4 linked regions of the Astyanax mexicanus genome follow. The main gene of each other region encodes a partner of the protein of the gene in region 2 in a complex. Links are inferred from orthologs where the notes say so. Each region holds a gene or a part of one and is shown on either strand. Other genes may lie near its edges. The genes, in order: ncapg, smc2, ncaph and ncapd3.

Region 1 (7,265 bases), on a different chromosome or scaffold from region 2:
AAATTATTTAAATAAAGCTTCATTTTTCAAGGTTTAAATACCTTATACGTACAAAGGTATTGGGACACATGCTAATTCATTGTTTCATCTAAAATGAATGATATTTTATATTTTAAAAAATGCTTTTGTCAGAGAACCCGTCTTCTGTCCTAAGCGAACTTTTTTTCTTACAAGATTTCGGAGAACTGGTGAGAAGATCTGACAGCTCAAAGAGAGTCATAGTCTCTTGGAAGTTTCTTTACAGGGAATGGACAAGCAGTGTGCAAATTAGAGTAGCCTAACATAGCTGAATGAGTTAAACGGAAGGGGTGACCACAAACAATCCAAATACACTATACAGACATGTATAAATAAATACATATAATTTAAAACCCACCCACACCCACCTGCTGAGTCATTGAGGCCTTGCTGCAGCAGGCTGACTCTCTGAGCGATGGTTAAAGCCCGAATGTGCACTTTCTCAGCCATCACCTGAAACAAAACACACATCTTACTTAGATAATGTTCTAACTTCACCATGTATAACATGTATAAATACAAGTATTCCAATAGACACTAAGGCGGAGCTTGGCGAGAGGAATGGTCAGTTCTGATGCAGTGTACCTGATAGGCCAGTTTCCGGACTTTGTCTTTAACGTCTCGTGTACGTTTGTAGATTTTGGCGAGTGTTTGTGCGGAGGGAGCGATACAGGACAGGACAGCCCGTCGGACCTCAGCATTAGAATCATTATCTAACAGCAGCATGTAAGCTAAACACAAACAGCATAATTTAAACTCAATCTTAGTACTAGATTTGTTAATGGTGGAATACATTATGAGTGGGGGTGGTGTTTAGATGGAAGTGTACCTTTAATGGTGGGACACTCGGGGTCATTCGGGTCCTGCAGGCGAGCCATTGCAAGCGCTGCCTGAATCCGGACGTTTGGGTATTTATCCGTCACTCTGATCAGCATGGCCTCGTGGATCCGTTCGCAGATCTCATCGTCGATCTGAGCGTTCTCACTCAGACTGCCCAGCAGCTTATTGATTAGCTGACAGACCCGGAAGCGCACCGCATGACTGCTCGCTGTGTGAGACTGTGGGGGGCAATTTACATTATTACTGATTGATAAATTAATTTCCAAAACTTAATCCGGACCTGGTGAAACAAAATCCTCAGTATTACCTCCAACAAGAAGTTGAGCAGGAAGTTCAGAAATGAGCCCTCATCGTCACTATCATCCTCCACTTCCTCTTCTTCAGTCACAGGGGTTTCAAAGCTCACAGTGAACTTCACAACAAAATCGATCACATTCTCCACAGCCGGTTCTCTGGTGTAGATTATCATAGCATACTTCATACAGCGAAGGAACTCCTCATGGAACTCAGATTTATCTTCAAGCTACACAAACACACACAAACACACTTTTCAGCATGAACACTACAATTGACATTGTTTCCCCAAAATTATTAAAAATAATTTTATGCCACAAATGGTAATCTATAAGCAAAATATTGCACCAACAGACTGCATGGCAAACTATTACATTATATACACCTATGATAAAGAGACTGAATAAGACAACTGCATTCATTTAAAAGTTTTGTGCCCCACTGTATTAAAGTTTCTTATATAAAAACTGAGAACCTCATATTTAATTTATTTGTGGACTTTAAACAGACGTCAGCAGCTGAAGTATCCAGTACCCAAAGAATTTGTCGTTAACATCAGGTTTTCTTTATGCTTCATAACTTTACCTTAACATATCTGTTCTTCAGACTGGCCACCAGTTTGGCCTTGTTGTTGTGGGCCTTCTGAGCTCGCTGGAAAGCGTCCTTTATCTGCAGCTCGTTGTCTGCAGTCATGGTTACCAAAATCCCTGATAAAAACACAGTTGAAGGCTGGTTTATTCGCGAATCATTTGTAGAGGTCATTACAATACACAAAGTACTTGTCCCTTCCAACCGGACTTGCACTACACACCCAATACCTGCACTACTGATATACAAAACGCACTCATTTCATTTCATTCCCCAAAAACTGTGAACTTTAAGTACTTTACGCACTTATTCACTTTACCAGCCTTAAGCTATATACCATATTTGCACTACTGTTATATACTATTTATACTGTCATTCCATCTCAATCACCATCAATATTGCACTATTGTCTTCCGTCTTACGTATGTTTATTGTGTCTTGTTGTATTGTACATATAGTACAATGTCTAGTGTCTCCCACTCTTTTATACTACATATCTATTTCTTTTTTTTTTTTACTTATATTTATATACCTATTTCTCCCCCAAACTACTGCACCTTGTTTTTGTCTCATGTATGTCTATTTGTGTCCCTGCTGTATTGTACCCATAGTGTCTCCCATTCTCTTTTATTATATCTATTATCTGTAACTTTAACTGTAAAATTAGGAAGGAGAGTAACGTAATTTCAATTCTCTGTATGTAGTGTACATATGCAGTATTGACAATAAAACTACTTGATACCATAAAAATCTGAAGAAGTGACAGTAGTAATGCCACAGGCACCCGAATGCAACTGCAGAAGGTGGAAGGGACAATTCTTTTTTAAACATGCCAGCTAAACTTGGATACAAATAAGATAATCTTCAGGAAAACCTTGAAATAAACTTAAAAATTGTGTATTATAAATCATCTCCAGTCGTAAATGAACCCCAACAACGAAAACTCACATTAGCATTAACAGAGTAACGTTAACGTTAGTTAGTCAGGTTAACGTTAGCGGGATGCTAATGCTAATGCGGCTCCCAAACAAACATTAGCTCTCTAACGTAGTTAATAAAAGAGGCGTCCTTAGGCTAAAAGGCTTTAAAACGCACATTAAACTATATCCACACACCGTTAAACCCCATTACCAGTGCGCAATAACCAAATAAATATGGGCAATTTAATCGATAATAAACGAATATTTACTGCGTTTCGCTGCACTGCTGTTCCCCTTCCCTCTTCAGCTTCAAACGGCGCGGCTTTTCAAACCCAACTCTCGCGATATCTCCAACAGTTCTACGTTTAAACCCAAATCTCGCGATGTGTAGAATCTGACGACAGAGCGGAGAAAAAATGGCTTTATAATAATTTTATCTGATTAAAACTTTTCTGCTTTCCTTTTTCTGAACGTTTAACCGTTTTGAAAGTCTAATGAGAAGAAATAAAGAATAAAAAGGTATTGTTGAGAAAAAGCAGCAATAGCTGTTTACTCATAAACTAAGTTTTAGGTTTTCATTTCCATAAAAAAAGTCAAAGGCTATTTTTAAATCAGGATTAATTCATTCTTCTATGATTCCATTTTGTGATAGGTGTTACGTTCATTTTACACATCTTTTAACATGTAAGAAGCTAATATTCATAAGTGTGAAATTATCTTAAAATATCTATTACATTATTAGATAAAAATCATACATTCAGTTAAAACAAAAAAGCTTTGGTAAAATAGTCTTTGTAAAATCATAGAAATCAGGGTGGCAGGCGACAACAGGCGAACACTATTTATTTCCTATGAGAGGGCACAATTTGTAGGAGGGCACAACTTTATGGAATGTATGCATATTAATTATGACACGGTGAAGCGACATTCTACACCAATTGGCCGAACAAATAATTTTTCGGACGAATCACAGACAAGAAGACCTGATCTCCCCTCCTTCTGCTATGTGAATTTTTCATTCCTACCGTATTCACTTATATCCCCAACAGCAGACATCTCGATAACTCCCAGTAACTCACCTCAACAAGCCTTTTGCAATCATTTAGTCCCCCATGGACAATGCTAAAATCACTATTACAAACTGAACAGCGGGCAAGAATTTCATTATTTTTTTACTTTTACCAGATATAAATATACTTTAGAGTTGTCAGAGGTGAAATTTGGTGGGAGTCATGATGCTCCTTTTTTTACTCACTGAATGCATCCCATCTAGGACGAAAAAAAACACTGCCCGTCCACACAAAAAACTGATTGGCTGACTTTCAGACTCTTTGCAGTGAACAGGGCAATCAGAACCCTACTGTTTATGAATATTCACACAAGGGGAGTGCCTTTCTCTCGCGCCCCTCGCTTTTCCACACACGATTGGGGAAAAAAGTCTGTGTTGCCTGCGAGCGCGTTTGTATTCACTCTTGGGCCACTCATTCTAGATTCCGGGAGATTTTATCTGACTTGCGGGCATCAGGGAACTATTACTGATATGCAGTAGACTCCCAAAACTTACAGGAGACTTGGGACGTCTGCAACAGTGTGGTTCTGCCGCTTATAGTCGCTGTTTTTGCTCTTTCCTTTTTATATGATGCATTTTTGCACAAATACAGAAGCAGTTTGGAGAAAAATAAAGCTTGGCAGAAAGTAGTGGATAGTGTAGTTTTTCAGCATGCCTACCACCCATGCCAAGACACGCCCACTCGCGGAAATGCAGGGTTAAGATTTAAGTAATAAAAATAATTTGCAAAGTAATCTATAATAGTTTTTTAACAATATATTAATACAGTGCATGAATAAATGTATAAATAATTGTAATGATTGTATAAATTGTAATGATACTAAACAAACCTTCTCCAAAATCAGGAGAAATAAACAATTAATTTATTCACTGTTCCAGACATCAATATGTTACTATTCATACATTACATTACATTACATTTGGCAGACGCTTTTGTCCAATGCGACTTACAATAGTGAAGTACAAAAGTAATAGAAGTTAAAGGTAAAAAACATCTTTAGACAGGGCCTAAAGGAGGTCAAAGGGAAATAATGGGATAGAGGAGTAGAGGAGGGGAAGAAGGAAATGAGGTTAGAAATAGTTAGTTTGTTAGAGGTGTTAAGTAAGTGCTGTTTGAAGAGCTCCGCTTCAGGAGTTTCTTAAAGATAGTGAGAGATTATCCTGATCTGGTAGTGGAAGGTAGCAGATCAGGAGAATCTCTCGCTATCTTTAAGAATGACTGACGCGTTCCTTGCCAAGTAAAATGTGAGAGAATCTGCCCGATCTGCTTGTGCCAACACCTCGGTTGCTAAGTATACTATAGGTATCTCCTCATGTGCCAACAACCTGGTTGCTGAATATAATATAGTTATCTCCCCGAGTGTAAACCCCCCGGTTGCTGAGTATACTATACTATAGGTGTCTCCCCGTGTGCCAACACCACGGTTGCTGAGTATACTATAGCTATCTTCCTGTGTGCCAACAACAGCAACCATGCTGAGTATACTATAGGTATCTCCCCGGTTGCAAACACCCTGGTTGCTAAGTATAATATGAGTATCTTCCCATGCTCCTTGTGCCAACTCCCTGGTATAATATGAGGATCTTTCTGTGTTTTGTTTGTGCCAAGACCCCATTTGCTGAGTATAATAGGATAGCATAATAGCATCTTCGCTTTGTGCCAACATTCTGGTTGAGGAGTATAAAATGGGTATCAGCCCTGGCTATGTATCTATATCTTTACAGGCCCTATTACCTGTTGGAGGAATTGAATCTTTTATTGTCACTCTGATCTTAATCTATTCTGCATTCTGGAGGAGGAGCTACAGCAGCTGATACTTCGCTGAGCTAATCTGATCATTACATACAGAGTCATTACAGAAGAACAGTATAACAGCAGCTGAAAGACATGGCTGCTAAAAAAAGTCTTTCAGAAGAAGAGCTTTCATGTCCTGTATGCTGTGATATCTTTAGGGATCCTGTTCTGCTGTCCTGTAGCCACAGTGTGTGTAAAAGCTGTCTGCAGCAGTTCTGGGAGACTAAAGGATCTCGGGAATGTCCAGTGTGTAGAAGAAGATCCTCAAGAGAACTTCCTCCTCGTAACCTTGCCTTGAAGAATGTGTGTGAGGCTTTTCTTGAGAGCAGAATTCGGAAAGCTTCAGCAGGGTCTGGGGAGAACTCCAGTCAGAAATCTTCAGCAGGGTATGAGGAGGTCTGCGGTCTACACAAAGAGAACCGCAAACTCTTCTTCTGTTTGGATGATCAGCAGGCTATGTGTTTGCTGTGCCGTGACTCACAGATGCACAGAAATCACAGCTTCTGTTCAGTAGATGAAGCTGTGACTAACATAAAGGTAGGAACTTTACTACACTTGTTTTACTTCCAAGAAGTAAAGTCTGTATTTTTCCTTAATTTCTGAAATGATCCTGCTAAAGTGAGGGAAACAACTTTTATGATGCCTGTCAATGGCTATGCATTTAGAGCAAAGGGCACACAGCCACATATAGTAGGTAAGTTATTATATACATTTTTCAGTGTGAAATATGAAATAAAATAAACTATACTCCAAATTAAAAGTTGATCTAACTCTTAAGCTGCATTTTTCACAGTGATTTTTGAGACCCTCACCAAGTTCATGTAGTTCAAATGCTGTTAAAGGTGAAGAATTAACAGCACATAAAATGATCTGTTTAATTGCAGATGAATCTCCAGACTGCTTTGAAGCCTCTACAGACGAACCTGGAGCTCTTAGAGAAAGTTAAACAAGGCTATGACCAAACAGCAGCTTACATTAAGGTGAGCCATCATCTTGAACTGTGACACATGGTGCTAAGTTCAAGTTTATGATGAGTGTGTGCTAAACCTGCAGGTTGTAAAGGCTTATAAAACATGTCCGATTGTGTTTAATAGGGGTGGGTATATATATTCATTTTTAGACTTTGAACCGATAAAAATAATATAAACCAAGATCAGTATTTAAAATTAACCCATTTTCTTGTGTGTCTTTATTTATTTATCTGCAGAGCGTGAGAGCCAACTGCAGCTATAGGCCATCAGTTTCAGACCAGCAGTTCCAATCTGTATTGTAGTTTTAGAGAAGCTAACGTTGGCGAGCAAATTTTCTTTCTCACTTAAAGTTTCTAAAGTCTGCTAGACTTGTGAAACAATTCCACCATTCCAACTTAAATGCAACAGAGCAGCAGTTTCAAAACATGCTGTAGTTTTAGAGAAGCTAATTTTAGTGACAAGCTTTATATTTTTCTCTTGTTCAATGTTACTAGAGCCTGCAAGAGAAGTTGTGCACACATTTTTAGGAAATGTATAGCTCAGTCACATTAAGGAACAATTTAGTGTTAGCATTTTCCCTTCCACCTTTCAACTGTTCCACATGCACTAGACCAGCAGTTTCAAAACATGCCATAGTTTTAGAGAAGCTAACATTAGCAACATCGAATTGATTCTGTAATTCAGTGAGGACACCCAGCCCTAGTGTTTTATAATAGTTCCTTCTCTTCCAGATGCAGGCCCAGCACACAGAGGAGCAGATAAGGGAGGAG
Region 2 (7,664 bases):
AAACAGTGAATAACTGATGCTGAATCTTTAGAGCTGATTACACGTCCATGATAATACATATAATAATAAATATCCCACCCAGACGGAACGAAAGAACAGACAGAAATTAAATTTATTGAAAAAGTATCAACATTGTAAGATGGTTTCCATTGCACGCTCGACTGATCATGTGACCCATGTAAAAGTGGGACTTATTGCTGTACCTGAGTTACTATTCATGTTCATCTATATAAGCTGTGGCTGGAGCTTTTCATTGTGACTGGTGCTGTCACACTCTAGAAGTGAAAAACGAAGCCTCGGAGAAGAGTTCCAGAGGGGTCTTAAGGCAGTTTAAACCTCTACGGTGATTCAACATGCCTTTGGCTTAGCCTGTGCGAGCGCCCTATGCAGCTACCCACATTAATTTTACTGCCTGTCCATATGTGTCCCTGACTCTGCATCACTGCAGTTTAAACTGCGAAGGCAGCAACGTTAGAAATGTAATAAAATTTACAATAAAACCTCCCATAATGTAAGACCATTTTGTGTTTAAATGCCTTGTATAACATTTTAGGATTATCAGATTAATGAAAAACATTTAAAAATATATATAAAAAAATACCAAATTAATCCAATTACATTAAATTTATGTACTTAGATTATTCAAAAGGAATTTAGTGGAAAATAAACAGACCAAACATTTCAGCTTTATGGACAAACTAATAACTGGGAATAACTGGTTTAAGAATAACTGGTTTAATATATTACTAAACTGGTAGTGCTGGGAGTGTTGTGACTGACCTCTTTCAGTTTCTCCATAGCAGGGGTTATCTCCTCTTCCAGGATCTGTGATTAAAGAAGATTTTATCCATTATATAAGCAATAAAATACTACACAAACACAAACTACACACAGTACACAAACACACACGCTACACACAAACACAAGTACCGTTTGAATCTCTTTCAGTTTAGCATCTTTCTTCTCGATGGTCTTCTGAGCGCTAAGTTTCTTGCACTCATACATCCTGGTACCAGCAGCCTCCTCAATCATGGCCAGAATCTACACAAGAATATTACATTTACATAAGAATAAATTATATAACAAACCAGTTTTCAAAACCACGAACAGGGATGATTTATACTTATTTAGCAACTATTTAGCACCTGAAATGTTTTATATGATTCAATTACAATAACATAGAAACTGTTAATTCATTAAGAACAATTACATTTTTAATAAAGTAAGAAAGAAAAATGTTGTTATTTAATTTTGCAAAACAATAAATAGCAAAAAAATCCAGTATTTGGTCAAATGTTTCTTGGCCCAATTAACCAGTGTTGGAAAATATTAACTCTCTCGTGGTACCACTTACCTCTGGTGGTTTCATGTTCAAAACTTTGGTGATTCGACCCTAAAAGAAAAACAACAGTTACCAAAACAGAAATATCCTGTAAATTAATAATAATTTATTCCACCAGCTATATCTTTAAAAAAAAAACATAAAAACATACCTGCATAATAAGAAAATGAGGATTGTTCACATTCAATCCAACTGAGCAGAAAAGATCCTGGACTCGCATATTATTAGCATTCACTCCATTAATGAGGTACTTATTCCTTCCACCGATAACCACCTACACACACACACACACACACACAAAGGAGGAATTAAACACCAGACTTATCACAACACGCTTCACTAATACAGATAAAGCAAAGAGAGGCCTGCAGGCTGACCTGTCTGGTGATGGTGATCTCATCGTGGGTTTCAAACCCCAGTGGGCTCTCTTTCTTGTTGGAGTTGTCAAATACAATGGACACTGTGGCTTTAGTGATTCCAGCGAGCCCATTTTTGTACACCAGGTCCTGAAGATTAGACGCTCTGACCTGCAGATATAAAAACAATAATAATTTAATTAGGCTTAGGTAAAATTAGAGCTATAATGTGTAATGAAAACCCAATACGGTCAAATATAAGGTACAGCAAAAAAACGCAAGTTTCAACAAGAAGCAAATACTTTAATAATTTAGGGATTGTTTCATCTATATATTCAATATTAGTATTATTACTATAAGCAGTAGTAGCCTAGCTAACCCTCACTATAAACTAAAACTAGCTTAGTTAGCCAAGCTAACCCTCACTATAAAATGACTAACTCAGTTAGATAACCTAGCTAACTTTCCCTATAAACTAACACTAGCTCAGTTAGCTAGCCTAGCTAATTCTCCCTACAAACTAACGCAAGCTCAGTTAACTAGCCTAACTAACTTTCCCTAACTCAGTTAGCAAACCTAGCTAACTCTCCACATAAAATTACGCTAGTTCAGTTAGCAAACCTAGCTAACTCTCCACATAAAATGACGCTAGCTCAGTTAGCTAACTGTACCTACAAACTAACGCTAGCTCAGTTAGCTAATTCAATAGAAACTAACGATAGCTCATTAAGCCAACCCAGCTAACTCACTAAACAAAATAACACCGCCTCAGTTAGCCTAGCCTAGCTAACTCTCCCTATAAACTAAAGCTAGCACAGTTAGCTACCCTAGCTAACTCTCCGTATAAACTAATGCTGGCTCAGTTAGCTAGCCTTGCTAAGTCGCCATATAAACTAACGCTAGCACAGTTAGCCCAGGCTCCGTATTTAATCGGTTTTTACCTGCGATAAGTTGGAGATTCCGAGCAGAAAACAGATGGAGTCTAGAATGTTGGACTTGCCGCTGCCGTTCAGTCCGGTAATCGCGTTAAACAGCGGGTCGAAGCCGGAGATCTCAGTCCGCTCCGCGTAGGACTTGAAGCCCTCCAGCACTATAGACTTTATATACATCTCTCCTGTAAAGTCCGCGCTACCCCGCTGTACTGCTCACTGCGCGCCCCGATACTCTATACTCTATAACTGACGCTCTACAGTAACTGATAGATAATCGATAGATAATCGATAGTAACAGACAGCAGCAGCAGCGCTGATCTATAACCGCCGGAAAGCTTCAAATGTTGAATTTGGCGCCAGACCGCCCCCCCGCTCTTCCTCTGCTGCGCTCTGTGAGTGATATATCCGGAGTGTGCCGCCACCTGCAGGTCGGAATCAGTTTCTCTGATTGTGCTGTTTATAGGTTTATGTTTGAGTAAAATGAACATTGTTGTTTTATTCTATAAACTACAGACAACATTTCTCCCAAATTCCAAATAAAAATTTTGTCATTTAGAGCATTTATTTGCAGAAAAAAACTCAAACAATGCAAAGAAAAGTTCATATTCATGCATATTGGCATTTTCTCCTCCACCAGTCTTACACACTGCTTTTGAACAACTTTATGCCTTTACTACTCCTGGTGCAAAAATTCAAGCAGTTTAGTTTGATTTGATGGCTTGTGATCATCCATCTTCCTCTTGATTATATTCCAGAGGTTTTCAATTTGGTAAAATCAAAGAAACTCATCATTTTTAAGTGGTCTCTTATTTTTTTTCCAGAGCTGTACATAGATGCCTCATTACAGGCTGGAGCGTAATCCAGCATCGTCACCTTAATAATAATATAAATTGATAATACAACTTTTAATTTTATGTTATGTTATGACACTAGTTGTCAGACTTTAAAAAGGTATTATTTTATTTATTGTTAGATTGTATTATTATTATTATTATTATTATTATTATTATTATTATTATAATTATTACAGTTTGTATTAAATGAATTTCAGATCCTCAAAGCCGGGCCATGCATACATGAAGTAAATACACAAAGTAAACAAAAAAACAAGTTTTATTGTTCATTTGAAATATGAACAATACATAAATACACACTTTATTTATATATATGCATAAAGGCGTACAGTACATTTATTTATACACTTATTAATATGCCATACCATAGGTCTGTCTTTGTTAGAGAGCATAATACAACGTATTTCAGCATGAAAGCACATATTTGTAATGATAGCTGATTATTATAGCTTTATTAAACACCTTCCTCAGTACTTATAAATGCACTGGGGGCGGCCGCGCTGAACTTCAGCTCCAATAGACGGCCTTAGTTGATGAGGCGTCTATGCATATTATGTTTTTGCTAAGGTGCATAGCCCCTAATGTAACATTTTGTTAAAAAAAATGACCACAACTTATTAAGGCATGGGAATTATATGATAATGCATTGGAACAAGATATATAAGACATGGGAACAAGATAATTAAGGAGACTTCATGACTATACTGTATTAATGAAGGGAATTAAAGGCAGTTATTATGAAAATAATACTCATGACAAATGGATTGTTACAATAAAATATAAAAACACAATATTCAAACATTCATCAAGCATTTACAAGTATTATTTACTTTATTTGTAGCTTTTAAAACACTGCAAATAATAAGGTTATTCTGTCTACAAGGTAAACATAATAAAATCAATTGTACATAAAAAATGTTAACAGTGATATAAATGAAAATCAACTTATTTGTAAAAAAAAAAGAGATTTGAAATAGGATGAAATGACTGTCAGCTGCAGTGAGGTGTTCAGTGTTTACCTGAGTGTGAGATGTTAGAACAGCTGCAGGTGATTCAGAAATACTGTTAATAGTGAGACTAAACAGGTACGGGACACAGCGTGAGACACACCAGGTTAAAGGCGTAGAAGCAGATCCTCATCAGGACCATGCAGTCGCCTCTGCTGGAGTAGATGGAGGTGGGCTGGACGTAGGTCCAGTCGAAGTTGTGGATGCGGAGCTCGCTGTGCTGATGGGTCTCACTGAGAGCCAGGAGGCATCGGGCCAGGGAATACTTCGCCGCACAGTTCACCGCTTTCACCGGACGCACTGTATCAAAGTGCATCAGGAAACAGGGATCGTCCTGCCGGAGGAAACAGAGAGATCATACAGTGAAGGATGTGAATTTAAATGCAGTTTTAATTTAACTGCCCTTCAGACACCATCAATCATGCTATACCAATACGGCTTCCCTGCCCTCTCAGCCAATCAGTGAGCTCACTGTGCTGCAGGGCTTTAATCCATACAGTTTTCAAATGCTGTATTTAAGTTTAAAGCTGTATGAACATTCCTGACTATACACTATTTGATACTGTCTGTGTTTGAAATATTTACAGTGGATTTGTTTTACAGTGGCTTGCGAAAGTATTCATACCCTTTTACACTTACACTTTTCCACATTTCTTCACCTTACAACCACAAACTTAAATTAAATGTATTTTATTGAGATTTTAACTGATTTTAAGACAAACACAAAGTGGAATGAAAAAATGATACATGATTATAAAAAAAGTATGATGCAAAAGTATCCAGCCCTCTTTACTCTAAAACCCCTAAATACAATCCAGCGCAACAGAGTCAATTAATTAGTTAAGAGAGTACAGCTGTGTGTAACTGAGGCCTCAGTGGTTTGTTAGAGAACAAGAGTGAACAAACAGTATCATGAAGACCAAGGAACTCACCAGACAGGTCAGAAAATAAAGTTGTGGAGAAGAAATTTAAAGCAGGTTTAGCTTACAAAAACATATCTCAAGCTTTGAACATCCCAATGAGCACTGTACAATTCATCATCCAAAAATAGAAAATGTATTATTGTGCAACATTTTGTGTTTGTCTATCACTTGTCAAATCGCAATAAAATACATTTAAGTTTGTGGTTGTGAGGTGACAAAATGTGGAAAGGTTCAAGGGGTATGAATACTATTTCAAGCCACTGTATCTGGGAGATACAGGAAGGTGGGGAAATATAATTATTATAATAAGACACATACAGTGGGGAAAAAGACATATTTGATACGCTGCTGAATTTGCAAGTTTCCCACCAACCAAGAATACAGGGGTCTGTAATGGTGTAGCTGCTGATGAATCAGTGCTGGCATTAACTCACTATATCAGGATCTCGTCCATCCAGAACCCTCAGTTCCTGCAGAGCCCAGACCTCCGTCTTTACATAGCTGTCCTCCAATCCTATTCGCTGAGCTTTCTTATACCCAGACTTCTGAGATTTCCTACAGCGAACCACTGTGATCTGCACCTCCTTACCTTTAGATACTGCACACACACACACACATAATACACAAACATATATACATATATACAATACACACACACAACATATATATGCACACACAGAACACACATATGTTGAGTTTATACAAATAGATAATTAGACTTTGGGTGATTTCTTACTATGAAGATTTACCTTATATACAAGCAGATTAAAATACTGGACTGAAAGATTTTTGTGTGATTTATGTGAAATGTGTCTGTTAGTTAGATTCTTACCGGATACACAGAGGAAATGCCGTCCTCGTTTCTTCTCTTCGATCTCGATAAACTCCACCAGTCTGTGCTCCTCCGGTCCGAACAGAACCCTCTGCATCTCCTCTTTCAGCAGAGAGGACATCTCTCAATCAGTACACCACTGATCAATATATCAGTGATCAATACACCAATGATCAGTATACCAAAATCAATTCAAATAATACATGAAGATCCAACAGATAACTGAGAAAACTAACTCTCTCTTTCCTTATCTCTATATCTCTCTCTTTCCTTCTTCCTCTCTCTCTTGCTTCTTCTCTGTCTCACCCCCCTCTATTTCCCTCTTTCTTATTTTCTGTCTTTCTCTCTTTCCTTTTCTCTATATTTCACTTTCTATATCTTTCTCTCTCTTTCCTTAACTCCTTCTTTCCATCGTCTATATCTCTCTTCTATCTCCCCCTCTCTCTCACCACTGCCTTTATTTCGCTCTCTCTTTGCTTCTCTCTATATCTCTTTTACTCTCTATCTCCCCTCATCTCTCTCTTTATCCTTCCCTTTCCCTCTCTTCCTCTCTCTCTCTCTTTATCTCTCTCTCTTTTGAAGGTATCAATAGTGATCCAAAGGGCTTTTCAGTTTAAATCTGTTATAAAGGCAATTAAAGACCAGTTGCTCTGAGACCACTCAGAGACTTTATCGACCGTAAATATTCAATTTGAGTTTGATTTAGAAATGCATAATTTATGTCTATAAAATTCATTCACATAGATGCGCACTGCATCCATCTCACACACGCACACTTATTATTCTGTAAAAAGATAATCGATATTTTCCTCTGCAGCTGTCATTAGATGTGAGCGAGCTGACGCCAGGTAAGCGGGTTTGGGTCTGTTAGGCTGCTGGTGGTGAGGGGAAGTGCTGATCCTCTGAGACTCAGCTAAAGTGCTTTCAATTTATTTAAAAGGGAAAAAGAAGAAGACACCCCCCTCCCTCCCTCTCTCTCTCCCTCCCAGCTGGAATCCAGTCAGAGTCACAAGTTAGCAACCTGTAACCCTGTTACCTGCACACTCTTACACTACACACACATCAGCTCGCTGAAGGGTATCACTGATTTAGGCTTGAAGATCTTCTTGGTTGTGTCGCAATCCAGCAGATCTTTACGCTGGAGCTTTTCTTTATGGTAGAAACTAAAAAGAGTACAAAGCTTGTCACTGGAGCTGCACCTTATATTGAGGTACAATAGCCATAATACCATAAAAATGATAAAGACTATAAAGATTATCACCGACTGAATATGTGTCCAACCCTGTCTGGCTTTCAAATGAAACTTATTAGTAATTTATTAGTACAGTGATACAGAATTGTGATAATGTACGTTTAGTTGCTGGTTAAATGCTACAAATCTGTACTTTCTGCTGTTATAGGAAATACTTTTTTTGTAC
Region 3 (7,078 bases), on a different chromosome or scaffold from region 2:
AACGGGGGAGGGGGGGGCGGGGGTTGGGCGCGCAGGTTTTGTATCTGTATCTGACGGAGGGGTGGGTGCGCGCAGGTGAGAGCGTGTGAACTCGCTGAAATGCGTGTGTCAGTGTGACTTGAGAACACTGACTATAGATTACAGTGAGGTGGATTAAAAATCTTAAACTTATAATTGACTACACCTGTTGCTTTCCATTGAATTAAAAAAACATCTTTCTCTCAGATAAAGTAAACACAAGCGTGTTTCTGACTAAAATAAAAGCTTTTCAGGAGAGATATAAGTTATGTGTAAATATTTATAAGACAATACCCACATCACTTATCTAACCAGCCTGTACTGATTTCTGCCCCCCAATAATGCTTTCAATAACCTCTTGTAACCCCTGGGAGCCAGGGGTTACACTCTAATAGCCTTTAATAGTCTTCAGTAGCCTTTAAAAGACTTACCTGGCGGCCGTGGTGTGTCCACTAAACTCCGTAGTTATAAACATCCTGAGGTTAGCAGCGCGCTAACTGACCTGTTTATAATGTAATCCCAGCAGTGACTCCGTGTCGGCTGTTCTAACCTGCTGCTGTTAGCTGCTTGGGCTGAAAGATGAACTGTAGTGAGCTGTATTATCCGGTTAGTGGGGTTAAAACCTTTATTTGTTTACAGAAACAGTAAAAACGGACTGGCTGAGCTCTGTAGCCCGTGGCTGGGCTGTACTGAAGTAGTGACTGAGTGAAGAGAGCGGGGCTTGTGCTGCTGCTGCTAGTGGTTGGATGAAGAACTGCAGCTTCATGTAATGAGCAGTTTCACCAGCCATCCACACACAGCTCTGATAAACTGCTTGTTTTAATAGTGCACACTGTTGCTACCAAAAAAAGTCACTAGATGGCATTACCATATATATCTTAATAAATAATAATAATAATATTTATAATATTTATAATAATAATAATAATAATAATAATAATAATAATAAATATATTATTTAAATTTTATGAGGCATAAAATAATAACAAGAAAAAAAAACAAGAAAATCGAGAATCGAATCGAATCGTGACCCTCAAATCGAAAATGAAATCGAATCGAGGATTTAGAGAATCGTGACACCCCTATTAATTAGACAGTCAATAGCAAGCTCATTTAGCACAGAAAGCTTTTAGTTTTTAGTTAAGGTGAGCTTTTATCACTGCTGGTTATTTTGTTAAGCTAGCACACTGCCAAAAGTTGGTAATCCTGCTGGAAAATGAAATCCGCATCTCCATAAAAGTTGTCAGTAGCAAAGGGGAAGCATGAAGTGATTCTGTAAGATTTTGTGGGAAAACAAAACTGCACTGATTTTAGACTTGATAATAGAACACAGTGGATCAACACCAGCAGATGACAGACATGACTCTCCAAACCATCACTGATCATCAGTAAATGTTACATTTCATTTGTAAATCAAGGGAGCAGAGTCTGGAGGAAGAGTGGAGAGACACACAGTCCAAACTGCTCGAGGTCTAGTGTGACGTTTCCACCAATCAGTGATGGTTTGATATATTGGAGAGACATGTCACCTGCTGGTGTTGATCCACTGTGTTTTATTATCAAGTCTAAAGTCAGTGCAGTTTTGTTTTCCCACAAAATCTTACAGCACTTCATGCTCCCCTTTGCTGACAACTTTTATGGAGATGCAGATTTCATTTTCCAGCAGGACTACCAACTTTTGGCAGTGTGCTAGCTTTCTGTGCTAAATGAGCTAGCTATTGACTGTCTATCTATATAGTTAGATTAGATAACCTGTGTTTAAAAAAAAAAAAACATAGCTAAAAAAAATATGAAAATAGAAAAGGTAATTCTTCTATGCTTGTTTTCTACTTTGACAGAGTCTTAATTAATTTTATATAACAGCTCATTAGTGCTGCATTCAGCTGTTATTAGAACTAGATATTACTATGCTAGCATTAGCTAGCTACCCTTTCTGTGCTAAAGGAACCTTTTGTATATTGTCTGTATATAAATTCGCTGACACTTCTTTTCATTTCTTCGAGCTGCTACAACATGAAAAAATGCCCAGCTGTAGGATTAATACAGTATTATCTTGTTTTATTTTACATTAAAAAGCTAGATTTTTGTTAACTTCCTGTGCTAATTATGTTTATATCAAAGATAATACTCTAGCAGTTTATTATGTTAATTTTACGGATTGCAGTGGCTCTGTTAGCATATGCATTAGCCTACAATCTACCAGACAGCTTTCTTCTCTTTTATAATATTATTGGTCTGAAGTAAAAGCCTAAAACATATGAATTAACTGAGCTATATAATTTAGAACGATATTAAAATAACTTTTAATTTTAATGTATTAAGGAGGACACCAAGATGGATAAATAACGGATATAAAACTGCCCAACTAACTTACTAACTAACGTTATATAATCTGTGTTTAATTTAGCGAGTTGTAAAACATAACGTTAGATAGTAACGTTAGATATCTTCCTCAAACAAACGTTTAGCTAGAAAGGTTAACTAAGCTAACTATCAAGCTAGCGAGCCAACTTGTGTTCCAATAAATAAATAATAAATTATTTTAAAAAAAGAAAGCGTTGAGCTAAACAGCTTAACTAAGCTAAGCTAACTATCAAGCTAGCAAGTTAAACCTATCGCCGCTTCGTGTTCCAATAAACACCCGTGTGTTCTTCCTAAAACGCCTACCTAGTGCGCAGTACAACGGCCGTTAAGCGCCCTGGTTAGTAGACACACATCACTTATTGGGACACAGCCTGTATTAAACATCACTTCTTCCTAACGAACTCAAACAAATTCGCTTTTACTTGATTTCTGCGCTGCTCCAGTCCAAACCGGCGGATATAAACAGTTCAGAAAGCGCTATAAACTCGTAAAACAGAATATAAAGCACTAACAAAACTGAAAATATCGGCAAATTTACCTTTAATACGCTCCGGTCCTCTACTCCTGCTCTCCGGCTCCCGTTTGAAAATTAGCGCCGAACGGTTTACGTACGTCCTGCGTCGCTAGTGACGTAATTACGTACGACGCCGTGCGCTTCGGATAGCTGACCTGGGATCAGATGTAAGATATATGAATGTACTTAAGGCTGTAAGTTAAATAGGCTGTTTAATCTGATCCCGGGTCAGTTTTTGGATAAAAAAGTGCTTAAACGTGCTACGAAGTTTTAAAATGTGAAAATATCTACATTTGATATGTAATATTACTCAATATTAGTTGAGTAGTTCTTGCTTTTCATAATATGTTATGGAACATTATTCAAATAGAGCTATTCACTGTATACCTGTAACTCTACCTCCTCACAACTTTACAACTGATGCTCTCAAACACATTAAGAGACAAGAAATTCAAGTAATTAACTCTTGAAAAGATCAGCACAGCTGTTAACTGAAAGCTTTAATTACACGTGACTCTACCTCATAAAGCTCACTGAGAATGATGTGCCAAGATGTGCAAAGTTGTCATCTAAGCAAGAGGTGCTACAATGAAGAATCTAAAATATAAAACATATTTTGTTTTTTGTTTTTTTAACACTTTGTTTACTAAATAATGGGAAAAAATAATTTAAGATGTGTCCGAACTTTTGACTGGTACTGTAATTTGAATCTGAAGGTTGTTCAATGTGTACAAAAAGAGTGGACCAAAATAAAATGTAAATGACAAAATGCAAATGATTCTGTTATTCTATGTTATTCTAACTGAAAGCTACTACACACTGGTCTTTTTTGATCCACTTGTGTAAGGTCGATCTAAGGGTTAAAAACAGTGGTTTTATTGTATTTGTTTTATTTATTTAGATTATTTATTTACACGGCCTGAATATTTGATTTGTCTTAAAGTGCATTGCCCTTTAAAATCAATGTATAATTGCACTATTATGTTATTTACTTATAATTACAATAATGGCGTAAAATGGTCCTAAAATGCTGGGGTCCATTTGGGAAGCCTAACAGGGTATCAGTACCAACACAGTACACATGTACCAATGTACAAACCCTCAGTAAGAGCCCATCATGTCCACCTGGGTGCTGGCTGAGACTGTGTGAAGGTCTTAGATGCCACTAGGTGGCAGTAGAGTAATGTAAAATATGCTCTGTAATGATGTGATTCCACACTTTATGTCTTGCAGAGCATGATTTCCATCTATTTGTCTATTTGTCCATCCGTCCATCCATGTTCTTATCTGCTTCCTCCTGCCTGTCCTGGGTCACACTGGGTCTGGAGTTCACCTGGATCATTGGGCACAATGCAGGAGTTTCTGCTGGACTAGTGCCAGTCCATAAACAGGGTACAGCATGATCTAACTGCTTCAGAATGAGCCAAATCCTGTATTCAAGACCTTTGACTCAATCTGAGGGACCTGCTGGTGGATTATTGATGATTGAGCCCCCCTTTAAAGCTAATAATGAAGACGTTCAGATTCAGACACTGACCGGATCTCTCTCTCCTCCTCAGACTTGCACACGCTCTGATACACCAGGGCGTTGGAGCCGTGCGATCAGCCCGACTGCGGGAGTTCTGCCGCTGAATGCCAAAGAAAACTTTACAAGGTCAGGAATTAATAAGGGGTCTTGAACTGCAGCCAATTATCTCTCACTGCCGGAGCGTCAGCAGCATCACAGAGCTCCAGAAATACATCATTAATGTTCTGTTTCCTCACAGTCAAGCTACTCTCGGCCTCGCTCGCTTTATTAGCCGCATTAACGTCCGCTGGAGGTCATTGATGGCGGCCAAACCATCTTTCTGGCTTTGCCAAACATCCACTTTAGATAATCAGCTGAGGTACATGCCAGTTGCACCAGATGAACATAAAAAAAATCTGATCGTAGGTTTAGAGTTTGCATCCATCTTAAACCACACACATCTAATCAATTTTGTTACTTTAAAAAGAAACATAAGTAGAAGAGGAACTGATTATAAAATTATACAGTGCCAGTTTGGATGCACATTCTCATTTAATGATTTTCTTTATTTCATTATTTAATGTATTTTTTACATTGTAGATTAATTTCAAGACATAAAAAAAATTAAGGGACACATATGGAATTACGTAGCAAACAATAAAACATGCTTTTGTTCTGTTCCTTGTGCTTTCTGGTCTGTTTTCTGTGTTTCTGTTTTGTTTCTGTACTGTTTCCTCTTATGTCTTCATCTCAGTGTTTCCACCTGTTCATTTGTAACTCTGCCTCCTCGTTACCTTCCCCAGGTGTTTCCTATTTCCCTGTGTATGGATATCCTTGTGCTTCCATGTTCCAGTGTTCATTCTTGTGCGGGTTCCACATCTGTCAGGGTGCAGCAGGGAGAAACAAAAGGAGAACGTAAATGCAAGTTACTAACAAACAAGAAATACATCAAAAATGAACATTGGGATACACGTAAAACGCTAAGAGAGAAAACAAAAAAACATAAGCAACCTGACCGATGTGAAACACATAAGCACAGCACAAGGAACAAGGAATAGGACAAGTACATGACACTGACCTAAACCTAAACTTAGGCTACGTTTACATTGCAAGCCACATTGTTCAAATCCAATTTTTTGCTCAGATCAGATTTGGCTGTCTTGACGGTTAAGGTCTAGGAGGTGAAAAAAGGCCAGGCGGTTTGCTTTTGCTGTTTTTTTGAAGCTATAGCTACACTGAAAGATGCGTAGGTATGAGAGAGAAGCACATAGCCCATGCATAAAGCAAAATGATGCATAAATTTTCAATTTGGCTGTTCACATTCATGTTGCATGTCAATAAATCGGATATGTATCTGATTTAGAACCACATATGAAAGTGACTCAAATCTGATTTGAAAAAATCAGAAAAAAAAACTGAGCCACATTGAGCAAAAAAAAAAAAAAAAAAAAAAAAGGGGCACTTCAGCCTGGTAATGTGAACGCAGCCAAAAAGTCAAAAAGGTGTTTTTAATCAATGGGTTGACAATCAATTGGGTGTGAGTGGGCAGAGCCTGTTTTATTTAAAGAACAGGAATCTATCCAAAGTCTACTCTTCACAACATGTTTGTGGAAGTGTATCATGGCACGAACAAAGGAGATTTCTGAGGAGCTCAGAACCAGACATTATAAGCAACCACCTGGCAACAACACCATGCTAATCAGTGCTAATCGCTACAGTGCTGAGAATAACCACCCACCACCCCAATAATTATAATGATAATAATAATAGTAGTAGCTGCTCTGTGGTGGTTTTCTCTCCTGTGTGGTCCTGAATATTGAAGAACAGCGTGAAAGGAGGATAATAATAAAGTATAGTCTGTACAAGATCTAAGAACCTTGCATTTATCGGAGGTAAATGGAATAAAGCTCAGTTTTTTTCTAATATTTCTAATAATCAATTGTCCCACTGTATTCAGTCCACAGCTGTACTCAGTTTTATATTATTATATATCCCCTATCACTAGTGATGCCCCAACACCAGAGGCGTGAAGACAAGCACATGCCTCCTCCGATACGATGTGAAGACTCCACCTCTTTTGAAATGCTGCTGATGCTGTAGCATTGCTGAGTAGCATCACAGCGCTAACGCTCGGAGGAAAGCGCAGCGACACGGTTTCCGATACATCAGCTCACAGACACAGCCTTGTGCTGATCTACATCACCCTAGGAGTGATGAGGGGAAAGAGTGCCATCTACTTAACCCACCCAGAGAGAGAGAAAGGATAACTTTGCTCTCTCAGGGCTCCGGCAGCTGATGCCAAGCCGCATGACCGGAATTCAAACCAGCGTTCTCCCAATTATAGTGGCAGCGCTTTAGACCACTGGATCACTCCCAGATTCTGAAACACTGAGATAAAAAGACATTTACTGTTTGACAGACTGAACACAAACTTCACCTGAGTAAATGTTCTAAAGAGGCTCCTGGGGAAAAAGCGCCTCTTTCCATCAAACAGGGTTTATCTGCTCTGCTGCACCTTGGCTCAAAAAGGAGTTTCCCAGTGGAGGCTCTCTGGTTCTGCTGATAAATATATATATATAATGTGTCATTATTGCAGCACGAATCCCCTGCTGCAGAGAGAAGCTGGGAGGACAGTGCAGCACTAAATGTGGGAGCAGAGATTTCATTAATGAGAT
Region 4 (7,430 bases), about 16 Mb from region 2:
ATATTTTATCGAAATCGAATCGAAATGAGGTCATGGTCTCGAGTATCGAAGTCAAAAAGAGGATCGACGATCCCTCCCGCAAATAGCGCAGCGCGCTATGCAAATGGCCCGGCACCAACACAGCGCATCCTATTCATTTAATAGCGCAGCCCCGCCCTCAGTTCTGCTGTGTGAGAGACAGCTGCCTTTCAACCACTGAGGAGAAACTGAAAACGGATTTATAGAAATATAGACAGGGCTCTCAAGTTTTGAGTGTCGGCGGGAGTGTGATCACTGTTTTTTATCTGTCCAACGGGGGAGGGGGGGCGGGGGTTGGGCGCGCAGGTTTTGTATCTGTATCTGACGGAGGGGTGGGTGCGCGCAGGTGAGAGCGTGTGAACTCGCTGAAATGCGTGTGTTAGTGTGACTTGAGAACACTGACTATAGATCACAGTGAGGTGGATTAAAAATCTTAAACTTATAATTGACTACACCTGTTGCTTTCCACTGAATTAAAAAAACATTTTTCTCTCAGATAAAGTAAACACAAGCGTGTTTCTGACTAAAATAAAAGCTTTTCAGGAGAGATATAAGTTATGTGTAAATATTTATAAGACAATACCTGACAAAATCTGTTTTAATGACGTTAATAAACATCACTGTGACAGCGCTAGTCACAGTTTCACCACATCACTTATCTAACCAGCCTGTACTGATTTCTGCCCCCCAATAATGCTTTCAATAACCTCTAATAGCCTTTAATAGTCTTCAGTAGCCTTTAAAAGACTTACCTGGCGGCCGTGGTGTGTCCACTAAACTCCGTAGTTATAAACATCCTGAGGTTAGCAGCGCGCTAACTGACCTGTTTATAATGTAATCCGAGCAGTGCCTCCGTGTCGGCTGTTCTAACCTGCTGCTGTTAGCTGCTTGGGCTGAAAGATGAACTGTAGTGAGCTGTATTATCCGGTTAGTGGGGTTAAAACCTTTATTTGTTTACAGAAACAGTAAAAACGGACTGGCTGAGCTCTGTAGCCCGTGGCTGGGCTGTACTGAAGTAGTGAGCTGCGACTGCAGCTCCGACTAGTGGTTGGATGAAGAACTGCAGCTTCATGTAAGTGAGCAGTTTCACCATCCATCCACACACAGCTCTGATAAACTGCTTGTTTTAATAGTGCACACTGTTGCTACCAAAATAAGTCACTAGATGGCATTACCATATATATCTTAATAAATAATAATAATATTTATAATATTTATAATAATAATAATAATAATAATAATAAATATATTAAAATTTTATGAGGCATAAAATAATAACAAGAAAAAAAAACAAGAAAATCGAGAATCGAATCGAATCGTGACCCTCAAATCGAAAATGAAATCGAATCGAGGATTTAGAGAATCGTGACACCCCTAATTGCCATGAGAACACTGGCCAGTGTTCAACTAAAAAGAATTCATACTGTTTCTAAAAACTTGATTTATTGATTTGAATTAGCACTTAGACGGTATTAGTTTCTCAGGGGGACGTCTGTGAAAAATATTTAATACTTCTACTCAGTGATAAAACTCTTGTAGTTGTAAAAACAGGACGACCAGTGAGTTTTTAGGCTTTCTCGATCACATAACATCATGTTCAGTAGCTCCTCCATTTCCACTCTCCATGTTTTACATGCATCTCCGTGGAAACGAGCTCCCAAAATGTAACTACAGTGCGCGGCAGCGGACAAATAGCCATTTTATTAAACGCAAAGTGACAAAACTCAGATTTGCGTCCGGACGGGGCTAAAATTACCGGAGGGCCACGGAGTTCAGCGAAAAACAGTAGATACTTCAGCCTGTAATGTTCGCAGAGGACAGAGTCTGAGAAAACACATAGCTACATGGTCGTTCTGGACAGGAATAAAAATCACAGAGGACCCCCCCATAAACCAGAAAATGACCCCAGAACCCTCTGAGAAACTAATCCTGTCCAAATAGGGCTTTTATAAGACTCTCTACACATTTATACCATCCTGTAAGTTCCTCAAAGCATCCAAACACCACAAAGATCACATGATAATTACCAAAATATCAGTTGTTTATTTTTTCTACTACTTATTTCTGCTAAATGTATGAAACTGAAACCAAAACATAACTTTAATATGATTCGGAAATCAATTTTAAAATTGTCAATGATTTTTTATATCGCCAAAATTATCATTATCACAAAAAATTCCCTTAAATATTGTGATTATTATTTTAGAGCACTATCACTCACCCCCTACTAGTTATCAAACGCTAGTGAAATTCTTTCTGGAAGCTTCTATACGCAGTTAAAGATCAAATAAAAAGGTACATTCTCCAATTTAACTTCTGTGAAAACAGCAATAAACCTGTAGATTAATTCTATTAACTGCGATTAATCGCATTTGTTTTTCCACAGACGTAAATTATCATAGTGGATATTGAAATGTACATAAAAGAATGAACGTAAGAAATGTAAAATGCAATTGTATTTATATAAGTGGTGTCAATTAAAATTAATCAAATTCTATAAACCTCTCAACCCTATTCAGGACCCAGATATTCTTATTTATGCTTCGGTCAATTCATGAGTAACGTTACAAGTGAATTCTAAGCCAATTTTCGATTCTAAAAGACACATATTAATGCATTTTCTTAAAACAGTCTGTGGAGGGTAGAAAGATATTTATTGAACGAGAATAAAGGCTAACTAACGTTATTTAATTTAACTAACCCTAGCTAGGTAAGGTTAATGTTTTGGTTATCGTAAGTTAGATTAGCAACACCGGCAACCTAACCTAAGTAGGTTAGCTAGCTAATGAGCTACTTTCCGAACAAATGCGCTGTATTTTTTCGTATAAACTAAAGTACCTAATACTAAAGGTCTTAAACATTATTTTGTGTCCGCTCTCTTCATTATAAACGCATTAATTACCTGTAGAAACCGCGCTGAGTCTCAGCAGCTCCACGACCCGCATCAGCGCCATCTTTCATTTGAATCAACCCGCCAACCCGCCAACTGCTGCCGCCACAGCCGCTTTATAGCGAGCCTGCCCACTTTATTGCAGTAAAGGACTGCAAACCGCTAGGGGGAGCCCGCGAGTGAGTCAGAAATGAATGAGCGTGAATGGAGCTAAACGGCTAAAAACACAAATTAAAAATATTAACTAACTACTCCTCAGGGATATTTCTTAACAGTTTTATAGTAAATTAAAATACCTTACAAAAGCAGTAAAGAAAGCCTACTTTAATACTTTTATTTTGCTAAAGTAAACAGGTTTTAAGCCGTAAAGACGCTAGCGTTACTGCTATCGCTGTGAGCTGATTGGTTGGTGAGGTGAGGCGCGCTAGAGAGACGGTTTAAAAAGTGTATAACTGGAGTTTAAAATATTTTAAAATTATTTATACAGTGCTAAAACAATACATTTTGTGTTTTTTATATAAAATGAGGGCATTGTTTATTATAAAAATGATAAAACATTAATAAATTCTGATTTTTCTCATTTGCTCCATTAAAACCCATTCATTTTTGTCTCACTAGGGAGCGCCCCCTAGTGGCAAACACACTCTGAACACATGCTAAAGTGGGCAATCTCCTCTGTATACCTTCTCTGCTTCTCCTGCTGGGTGAGAGGGGCATGAATGATCTTCAATGTGCCCCTAAATCTTACCTCTTCTTTTACACTCAAAGATATTATCCGATATTAAAGAGGCACTAAACTCTAAAACATATTTTTTTCATTAATAGCTGAAATGTGTTCCTCTCAAGTAATTAAAACATACCACGTTATATGTTTAAAAGACTTAAAAAAAACGCTTGGGTGATATAGGCCTAAAATAATATCACAATATTTTAGGGTATTTTTGTAGTAACAATATATTTTTGGCAATATGACAATTTTTTTATTTAATCTCAGGAATATTATACTACAACAACTGAAGATACTACAAAAAGATTCATTTAAATGTAAATTAATATGTATAATTATAATAATTGTGTTAAGTTTGCCGTTTAGATCCATTCCCTCCCATTCATTTTGGTCTCCCTCGCTGGCTCCTTCTAGCGGCGCGCACTCACTATTCTCTGATGTAACGGCGGAGATGGGCGGTGTCCCAATAAACCCAAACCCAAGCGCTGTTGAGCTAGGGCACTTCTCTCTGTGTACTAGTGCACTAGCTGAAGGCTAGCCAGAGACAGAGAGACCACAGCGCACTAGATAGGGAGCGTAGTATAAGGAAGGGAGCTTCCTCCTCCAATCGGAACACAGCCGCAGCCCTAGCCGCGGAACAGCTGGGTTTCCCGGCGTGCCCCGCGGCCCCGCGAACATCAAAACAAACCGCGGCGGGTTTGAAAGTTTGGTTAGGAAGAAGCGAGGCGCTGAGAAAAGCGGAGAAACTGTAAAAACCGGGTTTTAGAGGATAAAGAATCGCGAGGACTGATTGGAACATGTGAAAAAGACTTTGGTTCGGTGAAAAGAGGCGTTTATAAGACTGTAAATCCTCAGGTTAACAGGTGAGTGTTCAATCTTTAGCTAAGCTAGCCTAGCTCAAGCTATCAAAAGTCCTGTTGCTTTAACGCCAGTTCTATAAACTAGTTCTCGCGAGATAATTAAGCCAACGCACAGTTACCTTGTAACTAATTAACGTTATCTCTCTTGACTCACAAGTATCAGGTCCAAAACAACTCTGCTAAACTCGCCAACTATTTAACTCAACTGTAACATTAATATTAGAGTTAACAAGAAAAGTGCATTTCCTGAAGAAAACACAGGATGGTTGCTATGTTGTTTCTAAGTGGTTGCTAGGCGCTTGCTATGGTGTCTGTGGTGTTTGCTAAGGTGTTGCTGCTAAGCAGTTGCTAGGTGGTTGCAAAGGTGTTGCTAAGCGGTTGCTTGGTAGTTGCTAAGATGTTGCCATGGTATCTGTGGTGGTTGCTACAGTTTTACTATTGTGTCTGTGGTGGTTACTAAGTAGTTGCTATGGTGTCTGTGGTGGTTGCTAAGTGGTTGCTATGTTGTTTCTAAGGTGTTGCTGTGGTGTTTGCTAAGCGGTTGCTAGGTTGTTGCTACGTGGTTGCTATGATGTCTGTGGTGGTTGCTAAGCTGTTTCAAGCAGTTGCTACGTGGTTGCTAAGGTGTTACTACTGTATCCATGGTGGTTGCTAAGTTGTTGCTAAGTGGTTGCTATGGTGTCTGGTGGTTGCTAAGGTGTTGCTGAGCAGGTTGTTGCTAAGGTGTTGCCATGGTATATGTATTGGTTGCTATGTAGTTGGTTGCTAAGGTGCTGCTAGGTGGTTGCTAAAGTGGTGCTATGGTATCGATGTTTGTTGCTATTTAGTTTCTTAGTGGTTGCTAAGTAATGTATTTACATAAATCGGATTATGTTTCCATGTGCATCCATGGTGGTTGCTAGGGTGTTGCTATGTTATCCGTGGTGGTTGCTATATTGTTTCTAAAGTGGTGCTAAGTGGTTGCTAAGGTTTTGCTATCTTGTTGGCGCTTGCTATGGTGTCTGGTGGTTGCTAACGTCTTGCTAAGCAGTTGCTAGGTGGTTGCTTAGGTGTTGGTGTGGTGTGCATGGTGGTTGCTATGGTGTCTGTGGTGGTTGCTAAAGTGTTGCTATGCGGTTGCTAGGTTGTTGCTAAGTTCTTGCTATGGTATCCATGTTGGTTGCTATGTAGTTTCTAAGCAGTTGCTTGGTGATTGTTAAGTTGTTGCTATGGTATTTATGTCGGTTTCTATGTAGTTTCTAAGGTGCTGCTAGGTGGTTGCTAAAGTGTTGCTATGGTATCCATGGTAGTTGCTTTGTTGTTTCTAAGGTGATGCTATGGTGTTGCTAAGAGGTTGGTAGGTGGTTGCTAAGTAATGTATTTACATAAATCGGATTACATGTTTCCATGTGCATCCATGGTGGTTGCTAGGGTGTTACTAGGTGGTTGCTATGATATCCGTGGTGGTTGCTAACGTGTTGCTAAGCAGTTGCTATATATATATATATATATATATATATATATATATATATATATATATATATATATATATATATAATATATATACATATATATATATATATATATATGTATATATATATATATATATATATATACATATATATATATATGTATATATATATATATATCATACTATATATTATAATATATATGTAATGTTTTTTTTTTTATTGTTTTGCAGGTGAATCTCCGGCTACAGTGTCAGGATGACGAAGGGAAAGTGGCTGGATAGAGTGAAGTCTGTAGAGCAGAGAGCTCAGTCCTTTCAATCTGCTCCTATTTGCTCTCCATATAAACCTCGCCTGTCTCGCCCGTGGCAGCCCTCTTCCGTCTGGAGGCTTTTCCCACGCCAGAGCGCCGCCATCGCCTTCAGCCAGCGCTGCAAACAGGTCATACAGCTGATTTCACTTCATAACTTCTAACCAATCAACTACTTGCAGAAATATTTAATAAAAATATACTGAATATTTAAGGCAGGGATTCTTAACAACCTTGGGGGTTGTGAATAGGGCTGGGTAATGTTTTTAAATTTTCAATACCGATGCGATACTTTGAATTCGATACTAAACCTCAGACAATACTTTTTCAGGACCTTTTTCTGATTTTTAAAAGAGAAAGAAAATACAAAAAACAACAATTATTTTTCATGCTACAGTAATAACATGTTGATACAGGGCTAAAGTTACTGCTCTTGATGTTTTTTTGCACCTCGTATACAGAGTTTTAGGGATAGGTTATGACTGAATGAGGATTTCGCATTCAGGACTGATTCTAGGCTCTTTGGGGAATGAGAGGAAAGTTTTTCCAAGCTGTGGAACAATTGTGTAATTCCATTCCTCTCTTTTTCTTAATAATTGGGAAAACTTTGGTCATTTGCTGTTGTTGTTCTATTTTACAGTAAGAAACAGCAGCAGGAGCTCCTTAGATAAAGCTGTTCTCATGTTTCTTCAAGTGGGACAAGCGTTTGACCTGACAAAGCTTATACTCTAAATCATTTTTCTCTAAGCATGTTGCTGTCTATTACTATATATTTTAAGACTTCCTTTTTGGAAATATATGTATAAAATTATGTTTCTTTCCTGATTGATTGTATTACCTGCTGTAAAACAAAAAATCTGCTTACAAATCTGCCAACCTAAATTAATATTATGAGGTCAAATCGAACCTCCTGCCAGAGATGATTTCAACGATAACAATAATAAGCAATATTTTGCATTATTTTAAAAAAAAAATTGTTGGTTAGTCACCATATTAACGAAAACTATATATTTAAGGCATTTTTTTGCTTGAAACACAAAAAAAACATTAAAATCACCATTGAAAATTTAAAACGGCACATATTTATTAAGCATTTATTAATTGTAAATATTATTAAATAAAAATAAATGTACATCCTATAAAGGGTTGAAAAGGGTTAAGAACCCCTGATTTAGGG

Evidence for each region.
Region 1: smc2 (region 2) and ncapg share a complex: the UniProt entries of both Homo sapiens proteins name them as parts of the condensin complex. The link is inferred for Astyanax mexicanus from reciprocal best matches to the Homo sapiens genes SMC2 and NCAPG.
Region 3: smc2 (region 2) and ncaph share a complex: the UniProt entries of both Homo sapiens proteins name them as parts of the condensin complex. The link is inferred for Astyanax mexicanus from reciprocal best matches to the Homo sapiens genes SMC2 and NCAPH.
Region 4: the proteins of smc2 (region 2) and ncapd3 are in contact, whole or in part, in a cryo-EM structure (PDB 9F5W), measured with the Homo sapiens proteins. The link is inferred for Astyanax mexicanus from reciprocal best matches to the Homo sapiens genes SMC2 and NCAPD3. Residues at the interface, in NP_001036015.1 of Homo sapiens: Arg112, Ala122, Asn123, Asn124, Thr125, Arg126, Leu218, Lys222, Arg225, His229, Trp940, Asn942, Ala943, Glu944, Phe948, Arg981, Met985, Arg986; in NP_056076.1 of Homo sapiens: Asp31, Met72, Ile80, Pro127, Gly128, Ala131, Phe135, Pro137, Asp141, Lys235, Gln237, Gln240, Leu1121, Asn1196, Asn1200, Pro1203.

The regions. Positions count from the first base shown.
Region 1 is NC_064424.1:33,596,511-33,603,775, reverse strand, and holds the start of ncapg (condensin complex subunit 3), read right to left. Parts: upstream 3,005-7,265; 5' UTR 2,930-3,004; intron 1,860-2,929; 5' UTR 1,846-1,859; coding exon 1,738-1,845; intron 1,382-1,737; coding exon 1,166-1,381; intron 1,077-1,165; coding exon 848-1,076; intron 750-847; coding exon 604-749; intron 472-603; coding exon 387-471; intron 1-386. UniProt on the Homo sapiens protein: Regulatory subunit of the condensin complex, a complex required for conversion of interphase chromatin into mitotic-like condense chromosomes.
Region 2 is NC_064432.1:23,820,374-23,828,037, reverse strand, and holds the start of smc2 (structural maintenance of chromosomes protein 2), read right to left. Parts: upstream 3,006-7,664; 5' UTR 2,808-3,005; coding exon 2,640-2,807; intron 1,870-2,639; coding exon 1,720-1,869; intron 1,617-1,719; coding exon 1,494-1,616; intron 1,394-1,493; coding exon 1,355-1,393; intron 1,042-1,354; coding exon 931-1,041; intron 826-930; coding exon 781-825; intron 1-780. Other genes in the region: exoc1l (exocyst complex component 1-like), read right to left, coding at 4,562-4,825, 5,849-6,012, 6,247-6,367. UniProt on the Homo sapiens protein: Central component of the condensin complex, a complex required for conversion of interphase chromatin into mitotic-like condense chromosomes.
Region 3 is NC_064429.1:6,691,551-6,698,628, reverse strand, and holds the start of ncaph (condensin complex subunit 2), read right to left. Parts: upstream 3,023-7,078; 5' UTR 2,921-3,022; intron 1-2,920. UniProt on the Homo sapiens protein: Regulatory subunit of the condensin complex, a complex required for conversion of interphase chromatin into mitotic-like condense chromosomes.
Region 4 is NC_064432.1:8,247,246-8,254,675, forward strand, and holds the start of ncapd3 (condensin-2 complex subunit D3), read right to left. Parts: upstream 3,025-7,430; 5' UTR 2,973-3,024; coding exon 2,921-2,972; intron 1-2,920. Other genes in the region: primpol (DNA-directed primase/polymerase protein), read left to right, coding at 6,202-6,384.